Neurospora crassa OR74A: one gene and its partner. The protein of the gene in region 2 purifies or fractionates together with the protein of the main gene of each other region. This does not show direct contact. Links are inferred from orthologs where the notes say so. Each region holds a gene or a part of one and is shown on either strand. Other genes may lie near its edges.

What was found. The genes of interacting proteins can lie anywhere in the genome.
Region 1: the proteins of NCU01323 (region 2) and NCU00424 purify together in Saccharomyces cerevisiae (affinity purification with western blotting; 3 studies listed by BioGRID, with this or other methods). This does not show direct contact. The link is inferred for Neurospora crassa OR74A from reciprocal best matches to the Saccharomyces cerevisiae genes SMC1 and PDS5.

Annotation. Positions count from the first base shown.
Region 1 is NC_026503.1:3,810,549-3,817,501, forward strand, and holds the start of NCU00424 (Spo76 protein), read right to left. Parts: upstream 4,803-6,953; 5' UTR 4,349-4,802; coding exon 3,998-4,348; intron 3,936-3,997; coding exon 483-3,935; intron 415-482; coding exon 1-414. Other genes in the region: NCU00425 (hypothetical protein), read left to right, coding at 6,830-6,953. UniProt on the Saccharomyces cerevisiae protein: Essential for the establishment and maintenance of sister chromatid cohesion at centromere proximal and distal regions during S phase. Also required for chromosomal condensation.
Region 2 is NC_026505.1:3,657,547-3,664,579, reverse strand, and holds the start of NCU01323 (cohesin complex subunit), read left to right. Parts: upstream 1-2,801; 5' UTR 2,802-3,209; coding exon 3,210-3,240; intron 3,241-3,323; coding exon 3,324-3,417; intron 3,418-3,482; coding exon 3,483-7,033. Other genes in the region: NCU01324 (uncharacterized protein), read right to left, coding at 1-1,355. UniProt on the Saccharomyces cerevisiae protein: Involved in chromosome cohesion during cell cycle and in DNA repair. Central component of cohesin complex. The cohesin complex is required for the cohesion of sister chromatids after DNA replication.

The DNA of each region.
Region 1 (6,953 bases), on a different chromosome or scaffold from region 2:
AGCAGTCCGCTTAGGCGGCGTCACCTCCTTGCTTCCCTCCTCATCAATGCCTTCCTCTCTGCCCTCGTCCTCGTCATCGTCCTCGTCCTCATCGAGGTACTCCCACTCGGCCACGCCCTCCAACATCTCCTCATCGTCATCCTCCGAGTCGCGCTCAGTGTAGGGACGACTGTTCTTGTTGGCACGACGGGAACTCTGCCGGCGCTCGGACTCGGGAACAGCCGGACCGGGAGACCAGTCGTCGCGGTCGGACCTCTTCTTGGCCGGGGTCTTTTTGGACTTGGCTGTGGCGATCTTGCGCGAGGACTTGGCTTCGCGGTCGCCGTCGCGGTCACCGGAGGATTGCTTGACTTTCTTGGACTTGTGCCCGTCGCGGTTATTGGTACCGGCTGCAGCGGACATGGACTTGCGTTTCTATTAAAAAAAGGAGGATCGTTAGCCATTGCATCAGAACGGCGTAGAGTCATTTTAAGTGTACGTACCTTTTTGCGATCCATAGCCCTCAGAAGATCGTCAAGCTTCTCGTCCAAGCCCTCGGGGAGATAGGACTTCTCTGCAATTGTCTGCGCTTCGCTGTGGGACTGGAGGGCCGTGTACAGACCGACGGGTAGGCCGACCTTTCCGGGGAACGCATTGAAGGCCCAAACCTTCTTCTCCTGCCACTTCCTGATAATAGATTGCGCCAAGTCACTCAGGACCCTGTGCGCATCGCTGTTCGGATTAAGACCATCTTGCGTCTGCTTCACACGCTCCGCGTACTTGTAGATCAAGCCCAGATTGGACTCGGTGCCCACCAGTACGATGTAGTTGAGGATGTACCGAGCGTGGTCGATAAGGTAGTCTAACTCGTTGCTGTAGTCGGGGTGGTGGGCCAGAAGCGAGATGAGGCGGGCCATGATCGCCTCGAGAACAGGCTGCTTGAGGTTCTGAAAGTGGCGCGCCCGAGAACGGATCCATGTTTCCACCCTGTTCTTGAACTCAGTGTTGGGTTCGAAGGCAGTGAGGAAGATGATGGTATAGTAGCGCGACCGCAGTTTGCCATCGGCAAGATATTTTTGGAGTTTTCGCACAAAACCATGACGCACCTCCTCGACCATATCTTGAGTGGTCAAGGCCAACAGGTTGAAGTCTGATGGCGTAAGCATGTCGTCGAAATGCTTCTGTGTACAGAGCTTGAGCATCAACTGCGCAGCCAAGAGCCTTAGCCTTGTCTTGTGATGCTTGGGCGTATCCTTGTTCTCGACAATTTCGCCCTTCTCCTTGATGATCTTCCTGAGCACCTTCCAAACATTACTGGCCTTCTCTTTTGCGTCTTCGATATCCTCGATACTCCTCACCCTGTTGACTAGTGTTCTGAGGGAGAGGCACTTGGCCTGGATTTCCTCATCCATCTCGGCGTCATTGACCCAATCGGGATCGCTGTCTTTGGCGTCGGTCCGCACCTGGAGGAGGATCTGCTTGAAGGCCATATTGAGAATCTCATCATTCGCCTCCTCGGTAACCTTGGGTGCAAGCAGTTCCAACTGGCTCACAGCAGTAAGCTTGTTAAGGAAATTACTCGACCCGTATGACCAATCCTTCAAAATCCTTTGGAGAAGATCAGTGGCGGTAACCATGCTCTTGTCATCCTTCTTACAAAGAACAATGTTCACGGCATGCTTCGAGGCCTTGACGGGTTGGCCATACAGAGCATAGTTGATCATGGTCTGGACGAATTTCCGATCCATGGCGACATCCTTAGGGAACTTCCGGGCATACGTAGAGCAAGCCTTGAGCGTTTCCGCTACTATGGGATCGTTCGGCTTTGTGGCATTAGGAGCCTGATCAACAAGATCCTTGCAAAGCTGCCCGATGTGAGTTTTGAAGAGGTCTGGGTTGCGTTGAGAGATCTCGTTCAAGATCTCGTGCGCAACCGATCCCAATCCGTCCTTATCTGATTTGGAGTACTCCATAATCGTAGATAAGTGACTGCGGTTGAAGAGAAGACAGCCAGAACGGTAGAGTAGAGGAAGCAGAGTGTCAATAACTGAGGGGTCTTTGCTGGCCATACAGCGCTTGATGAGCTCTTTCAAGGCCTTATACACTGTCTTAAAATCATTCTCCTGGCCAATGACATATTTGATGAGGTTGTAATTGCGGCGGTCGTGAATTTTAGCAAACTTGAGTAGGTCGGTCTTGCTCTTGACGTGTTCTGGAAGAAACTGTGCAATGTAATCGGCCGTTTTGTTCAAGTTGCTGGTGATTTTGTCGGCATTGCTTTCCATAACACCACCGTTGTACCTCTCGCACTGGTCGAGATAGGTTTCCATAATCTTGGCGAACTGAGGCCGTCTAGATTGCATGGCGAAAAATGCCTTCTTCGCCGGTTCGTCCAGAGAGCGAACAAGGAGGAGAATCCTCTCTGCTCTAATCGCATCATGGTCAATGGATGTCGCATTAGCCGATTGCGACTGGGAGTTGCCGTTGGCGTTGGAATTCTTGGTCGCCTTTTTGGCTGGCGGATACCCAAGAGGTACTAGGAACTCGTAGATGACGCGATCCATCAGGACATTGAGTTCCAGATCATTGGCGTAAAAGGCGTTGTAGATGCGCGACGGGATGCCAGACAATGCTGCTGTTACCGCTTCATTTCCAGCAAGCATCTCACCAGTCCCGACAGCCCAGAGTTTAGCCAACAGTGACATGGCAGCAACTCTGACAGCGGGTTTCCTGTCGCGACAGCGATCGGCTAACGTATTGAGAACCGATCCATCCTTGCCTACTCCTCCATTAGGTCCTAGCTTAGCAATAATGTCCTGAAACTTGAAGGTCTCGACAGCCTTAACAGCTGCAAGTCTGACTTTCTCATCGCTGTCCGAGAGCTTCTCTCCCAACCCTCGGATCAAAGTAGCCTCGTCCTCGCGGCTGAGTCCGATTCCTCCAGCAGAGGTGGAGAGAATGTGGCCTACCGCCGTGGTCCATGCAGCGCGAATTGACGGGGCTTTATCATTCTTCCTACTCAAGAAGTTGTGGAACGTCGTACTATGTGTTTGCGAGAAGGATATGGAGCAAAGTGGCGTGGTGAGGATGTTGGTCACTTGGGGTTCCGCTCTTTCTTCTTCTTCTTCCAGGCTCAATGGCGGGTATGCGGCTGGATCAAGGACGGGCAGTGGAGGCGGACCTGCCGCGCCAATGCCCGAAATCATGTCTCCGAGCGTCTCCGTTGCCATCTGTCGCAAGTGCACATTGTCTGCTGAGAGCTCTGCATCAACCTGAGGGACAACGTTTTGAAGGATCATGGGAGAGGCCTTCCAGATCTCCCGAATAAGCACATGTGCCTTCCTCAATTCTTTCAAGTCGGACTCGGAGGGCCCTGTCGGGCCATCATCCTCATCGTTTTCGTCATCCTCGTCTCTGTTGCCGTTCGACCTCCCCGCAAACCCTGTCGCATCGACAATCACATCACTAAAATACTGACTGGCGAAACGGGCCATCTTGTCGTCATAAGTCTGGCATAGATTCCTGACCATCTGGTAAGCCTCGGGCTCTTCCTTCAGAAGCAGCGTTGCCTGGCTGTCATCGACTGGCACATGATCCTGCCGTTCCTTGCCTAGTCCCGGAGCAGCCGCTCTCAGGAATTGGGCCATGATGACATCCACAACCTTTCCTGGAAGGGTTACGGAGTCGTCGATGAGTACTCCCAGCATCTCTTGCATGCTAAACTCGACGTCTTTTCCAACCTGCTCTCCCTTGGAAGATTTGACACCCGAGACACCGTCGAAAATGGTGGTAAAAAGCTTGAGTAGCAAGGCTTCGCTGCCTTCAACATCGAGTAGCAGAACGATACTCTTGATCTCGGCAAAGGATCGCAGCACATACTTGTGTTGGTTGTTGTAGGGATTCGATGGATCGAAGAGGGCGGGAATGATGGAGTTGATGCTGAGGTTAAAGATGTCCTGTTTTGCGATCACCAACGTCAGCAAGTGGTCCATGAGATGGTGTATTCTGGCTCTCGAACCTTGAGTTGCGATGGTGTAAAGGGCGCATCGGGGGCACATAGCCTCAAGATATCGACAATGCAGCATGCCGTGTATGCTCGTACGCCCTTGTCCTTATGTTGGATGAGCTGATGAGAGGCTACGTCCTTAGCAACCTTGACCAGTGAATTGGTGTCCACAGTCTCCTGATCCATCTCCGACAGCTCCTTGGAGAGGGCGTCGAGCCTCTTGAGCAGTGTATCGATGGAGATGGGCTTGCCGGGGCGCCATGTCAAGGGCTCGTTGAACTCGAGTGCGACCAGTCCCTGTTCCTGCTCCTGCTCCTGCTCGAGCTCCTCCTCCTCCTCGGGAGCGCTTCGACGTGGCGCCATGGCGGCTGACGCGCTGCGATCGGTTACCTTCCTGCGTATGATCTTGAGGACGAGCTAGCTGAATAATTGATTTGGCCAAGTGACCAAGCGGCGAGGATGGGAAACTGATTCGAATAAAAAGGCGGAGGCAGAAAGGAGCTGGGAGGGCCTAAGAGTCTATGGGCGACCGCAAGCCGCGCGTGGTGTCGTGGTGCGACGTTAACGAGAAACGTCGAGGCTCAGGCCGTTGACTCGCGATTGACGATGCGCGCGGGTCCTTGGAGATATACGGGCAGCTTGGTATCGCGGGCCACGAATTAAGATCCGAGATAATGATATGCGCAGGTGGTGTCTAGATGTCGCGCGACAGGCCGACTGAGCTCGGAGGAGGATACAGTCAGTTGCGGGGGGATGATGAGTCGTTGATATGGTTCGGCAACAGCTGTGTTACGCGCTTGCCCGTCCTGTTCCTTCGCGTGACGGGCAGTACAACAATTCGTGAACTACCACTTGGGGGGGGGGGGAAACAATTGGCGGGACGATGGCAGGCAGAGAGCTGCCCAAGAGCCAAGGAGCTGCAGCGTCCGCAATGGATGACAGGGGCCCTGTGACCACTGGCAAGGGGCCCTGTGAAACGTTGCGATCAGCTTACAGCAAATTACCACTCACTGTTTCGGCAAGCCGCACAGGCATTACATCTGTATGAAAATATGGTATCAGTAATTACAGTATGGTCAAACTCCAAACAACGCTGTCAATCGATGCAACTTGAACTTCAACCGCACGTCAACAAAGCCTCTCAAACCACCTAGAACTCATCCATGACACTCTTTTATTCAACATCCCTAACATGGTGAAAGCTACCCAAAGTATGTGAAATACGAGTCATCGCTGAGCAGTATTTATTTTTCTGGAATTATTTTGTCTACATTCGTACTGGATGGGGGCCTTTGACAGCGTAACATGTTCACGTTGACCCCGTCACTAGTCCACTTTGTTCGACGTATTGCGCAAGAGGAAGTCTTGAGATCTTTCATTCATACATTCCAGTTCACTTTATTCGATACGTTCATGAATATCCTCATGGGCTTCACGACTTCACAGTCTAAAATAATGCGTTACCTCGTTCTCGTCTTCAGTGCCTTGCTTGCGAGTCTCATCGCTGAAAGTTTCCGGCATCGTTTGACGTTTACGAATTAAGATCGTTACGCTTCAACAAGGAATCATATGTGGCAAAGTCATGTATGTCTACCTGCTCGGCGGAATGGACAACCTTACATTCCCAGAATCTACAAAGCAGACATACCTAAACTTCTCTTCATATCTAACACTTCCTACGGCACTGCAATCCATTTATCATCCGTTTGTATCATGCTCACAAGGACATGGATACATCCACGAATCATCCTACGTTGGATCAAACAGCAGCAGAATAACAATCGAATAGTGCAAGTGATTATGTCCGAGATACTGTGAGATCACCCCCTTTTAGCGGCTACCTATACTTGGAATCAGAGTGGTCGCTACGGGACATAGCATTTTGCTTGTTTTTCTTTTCCGCACAAACCTGCAAAATTCAGCCTGGCAGATCACAAGAACAGATCTGAGCATCTACCGTACCAAAGAGAGCAGACGTAAACGTCTCGAGAGAACCTAGCCTTGTCACACGTCTGAACAACCCTCGACTAGTAGGTGAAAGCAGGGTTACCTTACTTCATCGTACCTACCTCTACCCGCGGAACCTTTGGACATGGAAGGTACGCCGCTAATTGTACGGACAAGCTTCAGGTGACGGAATTGCGTTTCCAACAACCAAGCGCACCTCCCCGTCTGAAGGACTCCTTAGGTTCTCAAGGAACTCTTGCCGGCCCGTTTTCATCCCATCCTCCTCGGTCGCCAGTCGAAAACAGTCGTCCACAATGGCAGCTGCTGCAGTGGTTTTGACATTCACTCCCTCCTTCCCCAGCGTATAAGAATCCCAAAGCTGGCCCGCAGTCTCTTCTTCCACCTTTCCTCCTTCCCACCTTTGCACTCTTCTTCGACAACTGCGGGATCGTCTTTCCACTCTCAACAGCCACTCGTTCAGCGCGCGCGCATCCAGCCCTCCAGGATTAATCACTCGTAAGCACCGAGTCCCATCATTCTGCTTCCTTTTTATTTCTCGTCCATTTGATTGTATCGTTGCGACGACTCGTCGCATGGTGGGGAGGCTCCTCGATCGCAACACGGTCGCAACATGACAGTGGTCTTGCAACACCTTCGTGGGGCACCTCTTCACCATGCGCCTGGTCTTATCACCATAGCAGGCGACTCTGCGCGCATCAAGAGGTCTTGATCCCGGACTCTTACCGGCGTGTTCATGCCTCGTCGCCGTTGTCGCAAAGCCTTTCTGGGCCCCCTCTCCCCTTCCCCTGTTCTGCCCCGCGCCCATGAGTTATAGTTACTCTCTCATCTTGCGCGTCGTCTAACCATCCTTTCTAGCTTGTCTCTTTGACCGCCACAATGTCTGACAACAGTGTCATCGGCTGCATTCCCATGCGTAACGGCAACGAGGAGCCCTGCGTTATCATGAACACCGAGGAGCCTTGCGTTATTATGCGTACCGAGAAGAAGGGCCGCAAGGTCA
Region 2 (7,033 bases):
ATATAGTAGGTAGACCCGTTGTATACGGACCATGTAAACACGCCCATGAGAAAGACGGCCGACAGCCAGCGGTAGTAGAACCAGAGCGGGCAGGGCAGCATGGTCAGGACCGCGTACGTGTACTGGATCAGCATGAAGGCCGGCTCCTGCAGGGAGTCGGGCAGGTTCAGGATCGCCTTGCCCAGCCAGTTTTTGGAGTACGACTTGCGCAGCCATGTAAACGAAGTGGGGCGGCCGGCGGCGATCTTGTCGCGGCGCCGGACCGTGATGAAGAAGTAGTACGCGAGCTGCCAGATGGCGTACGGGATCGTGGACCAGGCCAGCATGGAGATGACGTTGGCGTAGGCGGTCGGGGAGCCGGGCGGAGAGGTCTTGATGGTCCAGATGGACGGGAAGCGCTTGCGCTGCTCGGCTGGGTCGAGGAGGTGCACGATGCAGTGCAGGGTGGCGCAAGGCATGATGTGGATGAAGAGCGACGTGACCTTGTCGAGACTGTGGAAGACCAGGGAGTTGCGCCACATGATGATGGCTATGGCATTGTTGCCGTAGGCTAAGCAATAGACGGCGGTGAAGAGACGCTTCGAGCCGGGGAACACCCACAGGCTGAGGAGCAGGAGGAAGTTGACAAAGTAACAGAGGTCAGCAAGGAAGTAGTGGTAGCCTTGCTTGTGGTAGCGGTAGAACCGTATGGGCATGAAATAGAGGATCTGAACAGTGTACCAGATATGGAACCATTCGGGGAAGGCGCCGATCAAGTAACCGCTGATGAAGATGTTCATGACGCCGAAGATGAAGGCTACTTTCTCGCGGAGAGTGATGACCTTGGTGTCGTTCCAGCGCTTTCCTAGCTTATCAACGTTGACGCGCATCCGCTTCTTGTATCGCTCCAGCTGCTCCTCGGCCGTGGGGACCCGTTTGCGCCATTCATCCACCATGCGCTCTCGAGCGATCGCACTCTTTTCTTTCAGGGCCTCGCCGGACTTGCGCATCTTCTCGGTTCGGGCGTGGATGCCTCTTTGCAATTTCTCCAGCTGCTGAGGGAGCGCAAAATTATCGAGAAGGTCGAGAACAGTCAAGCGATCGAGAGGGGGGAAGACATCCCACTCGTCGTGAAGAGTGCTGCTTATGCTACCCGAAAACGACGAGTTCCTCGATAATACGGCTGGACTTTTCGGGGTCGTGACATCGAGAGTTGGGGTATTCGGATCATGTTCTCCGGGCGAAGAGTTTAGGGGCGGTGTTGAGGGGGTGTCTGGGGTCAAGATGGCCTCGCCATCGGTAGATGGTGCGCCTTCTGACTTGTGGCTCAGTCCCGAGACCGGGAGACTGATCTCCGGTTCCGCCAGATCGGCCATGGTTGGTGTTTTGTGTTCAGTATGTTCTTGCTCAAATGTTCTTGCTCAAAATACGACAATGTTATCCAAATGGGTGATACGGAAGGAATAGGGTTTCTGTGGAGGGGCAATGGGTCAGATTAAATCCACAGACATGATAGCCATGGCAGGGAAAGATGGTATGTTCATGTTTGAGACGTACTAGTCGAAACCCCTCGTGTGGTGGAGATTTACTTACACAGCCATCAAATGGCGACGTCAATGGATGGAGAAGGCTTGTACCATAGGTAGCGAATTGGCAGAAGTGAAAGCGGCAGCAGGTGCTTCTGGGGTCGAGGGGATGTCGTAGCTATTTCTAGATGATCAAATGTGGAGCACCAAGCTTGAGACGAAATGATTGTCGTCAAGATTGGGCTGCAGCGCGTTGCAAAAGTTGTGTTGTGTTTCCGGCATGCGGGCAGTGGCGGGTCGGGGATTCTTGTTGGCTCCCGTCAAACAGCTTTGCAGGGAAAAGAAGAGACGGGATGCACCGGGAAAATGACATATGCACACGTGAATTATGGTGATATCACTGCAGATAGACTTCACGATACTGAACTCGGCGTGGAGGATAGATAAGAGACTTGGATAAGATGGATACACGTGGTCTGAATTTGATCGGATTAAAGGCTGGGGAGATGAGGAGAAAGTAGATGATAAAAAAAAAATTGGACCACGTGTGACTCTCATTGTCTCGGATTTGAAGCTGGAAAAGGAAGACACCTTGTGACGACGGACGACGACGGCGTGTTAGTGTCGTTGGTGCAAGGTCTCCAATGACGGTGTATGGATGCAGCTTCTCCCAGCATGTGATGCAAGCAGGCCTAACATTGGCAGAGAATGCGATCATTGGCGCGCTGACGTTATGGCTGCAGATTTTAGTGTATCAGAACTTAGAACCCTGGAAAACTGCCACAATCTGTTATGTCAGTCGGCCATTTACGCCACATCTTGGTCGTTTTGCTATCAACCGATGGGAGGTCACTGAACTCTAGTGTATCGAGCACAGAAGGTCCTCGTCAAGAGATCCAAGAAGATCCGGAACATCGAAAGCTTGATTTCGGTTGTTCCGTAAGGCTGGAAAAGACCCGTAGCATCCTTGGCTGGGTGTACAAGTTCCACAAAGGCAGGTCCAGAACATCGCTGCCTCTTAATTCTCGCCGGTTAGGTGTCCTAAAGCATGGATAATTTATGAGCAAAACAAACTAACAACCTACATGTGTTGCGAATGCAAGCTCTACCGAGGAAGGTATCCTCGTGTTGTCATCAAACCGTCTGGAATTTGATCTCCTTCCGCTTCCTGTGGTGTACTACTCAAAAAGACAACAAGGTGGACATGGCTACTTGTTAGTCATGGGCTATAACCCTAACCCGTATTTTCGTCCCCCGCCGTTGAAGCGTGAACTGAAGCATTGGATGGTCCAAGCGCCCATCTGTCTGTCCTTCAATCGCTCCGAGTGCCTGTGCAGCACTCCCCCACCTCCTGCAGGATGCGACAGATGCTCTACCTTGGCGACCTGCGCTGCCCTGGGCAAATTATTGGGGAAACGAAGTCGCGACACTGGATTAACCCGGTCGACCTTGTTTCCGCTACCGCGCCCACATCTGCCTGCGATTACAAGCTTGGTTGCGATTCCAACCCATCGCACCACCCTCGACCTGTTTACGCGCCTTTTGATGTTCCCCGATCGCGCCGTCACCGCGGATCTCTGTTGGAGCGCGTCGAGTCTCCATTTCTAGCGAGTATCGTCTGCGCTAGCTCAACAACACTATAACCGGTATTCCCATTCGCATACCTTCGGCGCGTCCTCCTGCAGGACATCAACAACCGCAAACATGGGCAAGCTCATCCGTCTCGAGCTTTTCAGTAGGTCTTGAATTCTGCTCTGCGCGAAGCACGACACCTTGGTCGCGAGCGTGCCGAAACTCACCATGTTTGCCGTAAACCAGACTTTAAGTCCTACAAGGGCCACCACACCCTCCTGTTCGGCGACTCCTACTTCACCTCCATCATCGGTCCTAATGGCTCGGGAAAGTCAAATTCGTAAGTTGCACCGGGTTGCGGTCGCTAGGGACTGCTTTCATATTGACGGGCGCGCGCCTTGCTAGGATGGATGCCATCTCCTTCGTCTTGGGCATCAAATCGTCACACCTCCGATCGACCCATCTCCGAGACCTGGTCTATCGTGGCCGTGTTATGAAAACCTCGAAAATCCAAGAAGATGGCACCGCTGCCCCCGCTACTAACGGCGTCAATGGGCACGAAGACGGCGAAGACGAAGACCCTTCCCAACGGTCATCGAGGAACGACCCCAAGACGGCTTGGGTCATGGCCGTCTACGAAGACGATGCTGGCGACGAGCAACGGTGGAAGCGAACCATTACAAACAGTGGATCCAGCGAGTACCGCATCAACGATAGAGTGGTTACCGCCCAGCAATACAACGATGCGCTTGAGGCTGAAAATATCCTGATCAAGGCGCGTAACTTCCTGGTTTTCCAGGGAGACGTTGAGGCCATTGCCTCGCAGTCGCCTCAAGATCTTACACGCTTGATCGAACAGATATCCGGAAGTCTTGAATACAAGGCCGATTATGAGAAGTTGCAGGCCGAGGTCGAGCAGGCTGCTGAGAACCAGAATTTCCAGCTGCACCGGAGAAGAGGCATCAACTCGGAAATCAAGCAGTATCAGGAACAAAAGAAAGAGGCCGAAAACTTCCAACGGAAAACCGAAGAACGAGATGAGGCCGTCATTACCCATATCCTGTGGAAGCTATATCACTTTCAGAAGGTCATGGACGAGTCTAGCGCGCAAATCCAGGAGCACCAGGAAAACCTTAAAGAGTTCCGTCGGAATGTTGAAGCCTTTGAAAACAAACTGGATGCTGCTCGTAAAGAGCAGGCTACGGTAGGACGTGAGGTGGGCAAGGTTGAGAGGAACATCAAGGCCAAGGAAAAGGACATTGAAGACAAGGAAAACAGTCTTGTGCCAATCGACGAAAAGATTGCGCAAAGCACCCAAGATATGGGTGTGCTACGGAAGCGCATTGTCGAAGTGAAAAAAGACCGCGACAGCCAAGCATCTAGCATCTCCAAATTGCAAAAGGACCTCGCCACCGTGGAGAAAGCGCAGCAGCAGTTCGAAAAGCAATGGGCCGAAACACTCAAGAAGCAAGGCAAGGAGCTTAGTGATGAGGACCGCAAGGAATATACTAGTCTTCAAGCCGAAGCTATGAAGAAAACTGCCGACAACCGGGCCAAGCTGGCCAACCTCACGCGCCAGCTCAAGAGTGACGAGGTCACCGTCAACAGCCTGAAAGGGAAAATCGACAACTTTGAGGCCGCTATCGAAAAGCTGCAGACGGAGGTTCAGTCGATCAAGGATAGAAAAGACGCCAGCGAGGACGCGGTACAACAACTCCGAAGCGATATCGCCGCCAAGAAGAAAGAGTATAACAAACTCCAGTCTGAGCGCGTAAGGATAAACCAGACCAGAACCGCCCAGGAGGAGAAGCTGCGGGAAATCCTTCGCAAGCTGGAGGATGCGGAGTCTGGCCGGCGTCAGAATGAGAAGGAGACAAGATTGAGGAACATGATCAGCGACCTCAGGCGCATCTACCCAGGTGTCCGAGGCCGGGTTGGAGATCTTTGCAAACCCAAACAGAAAAAATTTGACGAGGCGGTCATCACAGCCCTTGGACGTGACTTCGATGCAGTTGTGGTGGACACCGAGAAGGTTGGGATGGACTGCGTGCAGTATCTCAAGGAGCAGCGATTTCCTCCCTTGACGTTTATTCCGCTCGACAACATCAAGGTCAACAGCTCAGTTTCGGCAGTTAAGGGCATTTCCGGAGCACGACTGACCATTGATACAATTGACTTTGATCCTTCCCTCGAGCGTGCCATCAGCTACGCTTGTGGTGGATCTGTCGTCTGCGACAATCTCCATATCGCAAAGGACATTGTATACGGTAGAAAGATCCAGGTCAAGGCTGTCACGCTGGAAGGTTTCGTAATTCACAAGGCTGGTACCATGACGGGTGGCCGTTTGCCTAATGAGAAGGGCGGCAAGCGTCGGTTTGAGGAACATGACATCCAAAATCTGCAACGGATGGCACAGTCATTAAAAGACGAGGTGGCAGCTTTGGCGCACTCTGGGCGACGAACCGCCAAGGAGGATGCTTTGTTGGTCGAATTTACGGCGCTTGAACAACGCCTCAAGATTCAGGAAGGTGAACTGGCCGCCTTTGAGAAGAACCTCAAGAGCAAACAGAAAGAGCTCGATCATCAGGAGCGGCAGCTGGACGACTACGAGCCCAAGTATGAGGAAAAGCACGGCGAGCTGGAGCGGACGCGGGCAACGGTACAGAAGTTCGAAAAAGCCATCTCAGACGTCGAGGATAAGATCTTTAAAGATTTCTGCAAGAGACTGGGCTACGAGAACGTCCGTGCCTACGAAGCCCAGCAGGGCACTTTGGAACAAGAAGCTGCCCAGAAGCGGCAAGACTTTGATATCCAAAAACAACGCATCCAGAGCAACATCACATGGGAAATGTCACAGCACACGGCGACCAGCGACAGGATAGCCTCACTAGAACGGACCCTACAACGGCATGAACGAGATCTCGATACATATCGACAAGAGAAAGCATCGATCGAAGAGGAACTGGCGGAAGACCGGGAGGCGCTCGAGGAGCTTGAGCAGAGTCTAGAAGAGCTCAAGGTCTCCCACGCAGAAAAGACCAAGAAGGTCCAGGAGGCCAAGCAAGACCTACAGAGGAGGAGCAGAGACATAGAAGTCAGGTTGAAGGAGATCAGCAATCTGGAGGCTACAGTTCAGCAGAGTAGTGCTCAAAAGCTTGCCCTGCTCAGGAGATGCAAGCTTGAGCAGATCCAAATTCCTCTTCAACAAGGCTCTCTTGACGACATTCCAAACGAGGACATGTTACTCCAGAAGGACCAGGATGCCATGGATGTTGATGGCGAGGATGAAGACCAGGAAGCCGAGCTTCTCGAAGCTGCCATGGACGACTACGGTGTCGAAATCAATTACGACAACCTCGATGACGCACTACTTCAAGACCCGAACGACGAAGTCGAAGAGAAGCTGCAAGAAAAGATCTCGGCCCTCACCGCCGAGATCGAGAAGCTCAACCCCAACATGCGCGCCATCGAGCGTCTCGAGTCGGTCAAGTCGCGCCTTGAGTCCACAGAAAAGGACTTTGAGGACTCGCGCGCCGCCCTCAAGGCGGCACGGGATGCCTTCAACCAGGTCAAGGACAAGCGGTTCGAGCTCTTCAACAAGGCCTTTACGCACATTCAGGAGCAGATCACGCACGTGTACAAGGACCTCACACGCTCAGACGCCTATCCGCTCGGTGGGCAGGCGTACCTGGATATCGAGGAGGACACGGACACCCCCTACCTGTCGGGCATCAAGTACCACGCCATGCCGCCGCTCAAGCGGTTCCGCGACATGGAGCACCTGTCGGGCGGTGAGAAAACCATGGCGGCGCTGGCGCTGCTGTTTGCGATCCACAGTTACCAGCCGTCGCCCTTTTTCGTGCTGGACGAGGTGGACGCGGCGCTGGATAATGCCAATGTGGAGAAGATCAAGAAGTACATCCGCGAGCATGCGGGTCCTGGAATGCAATTTATCG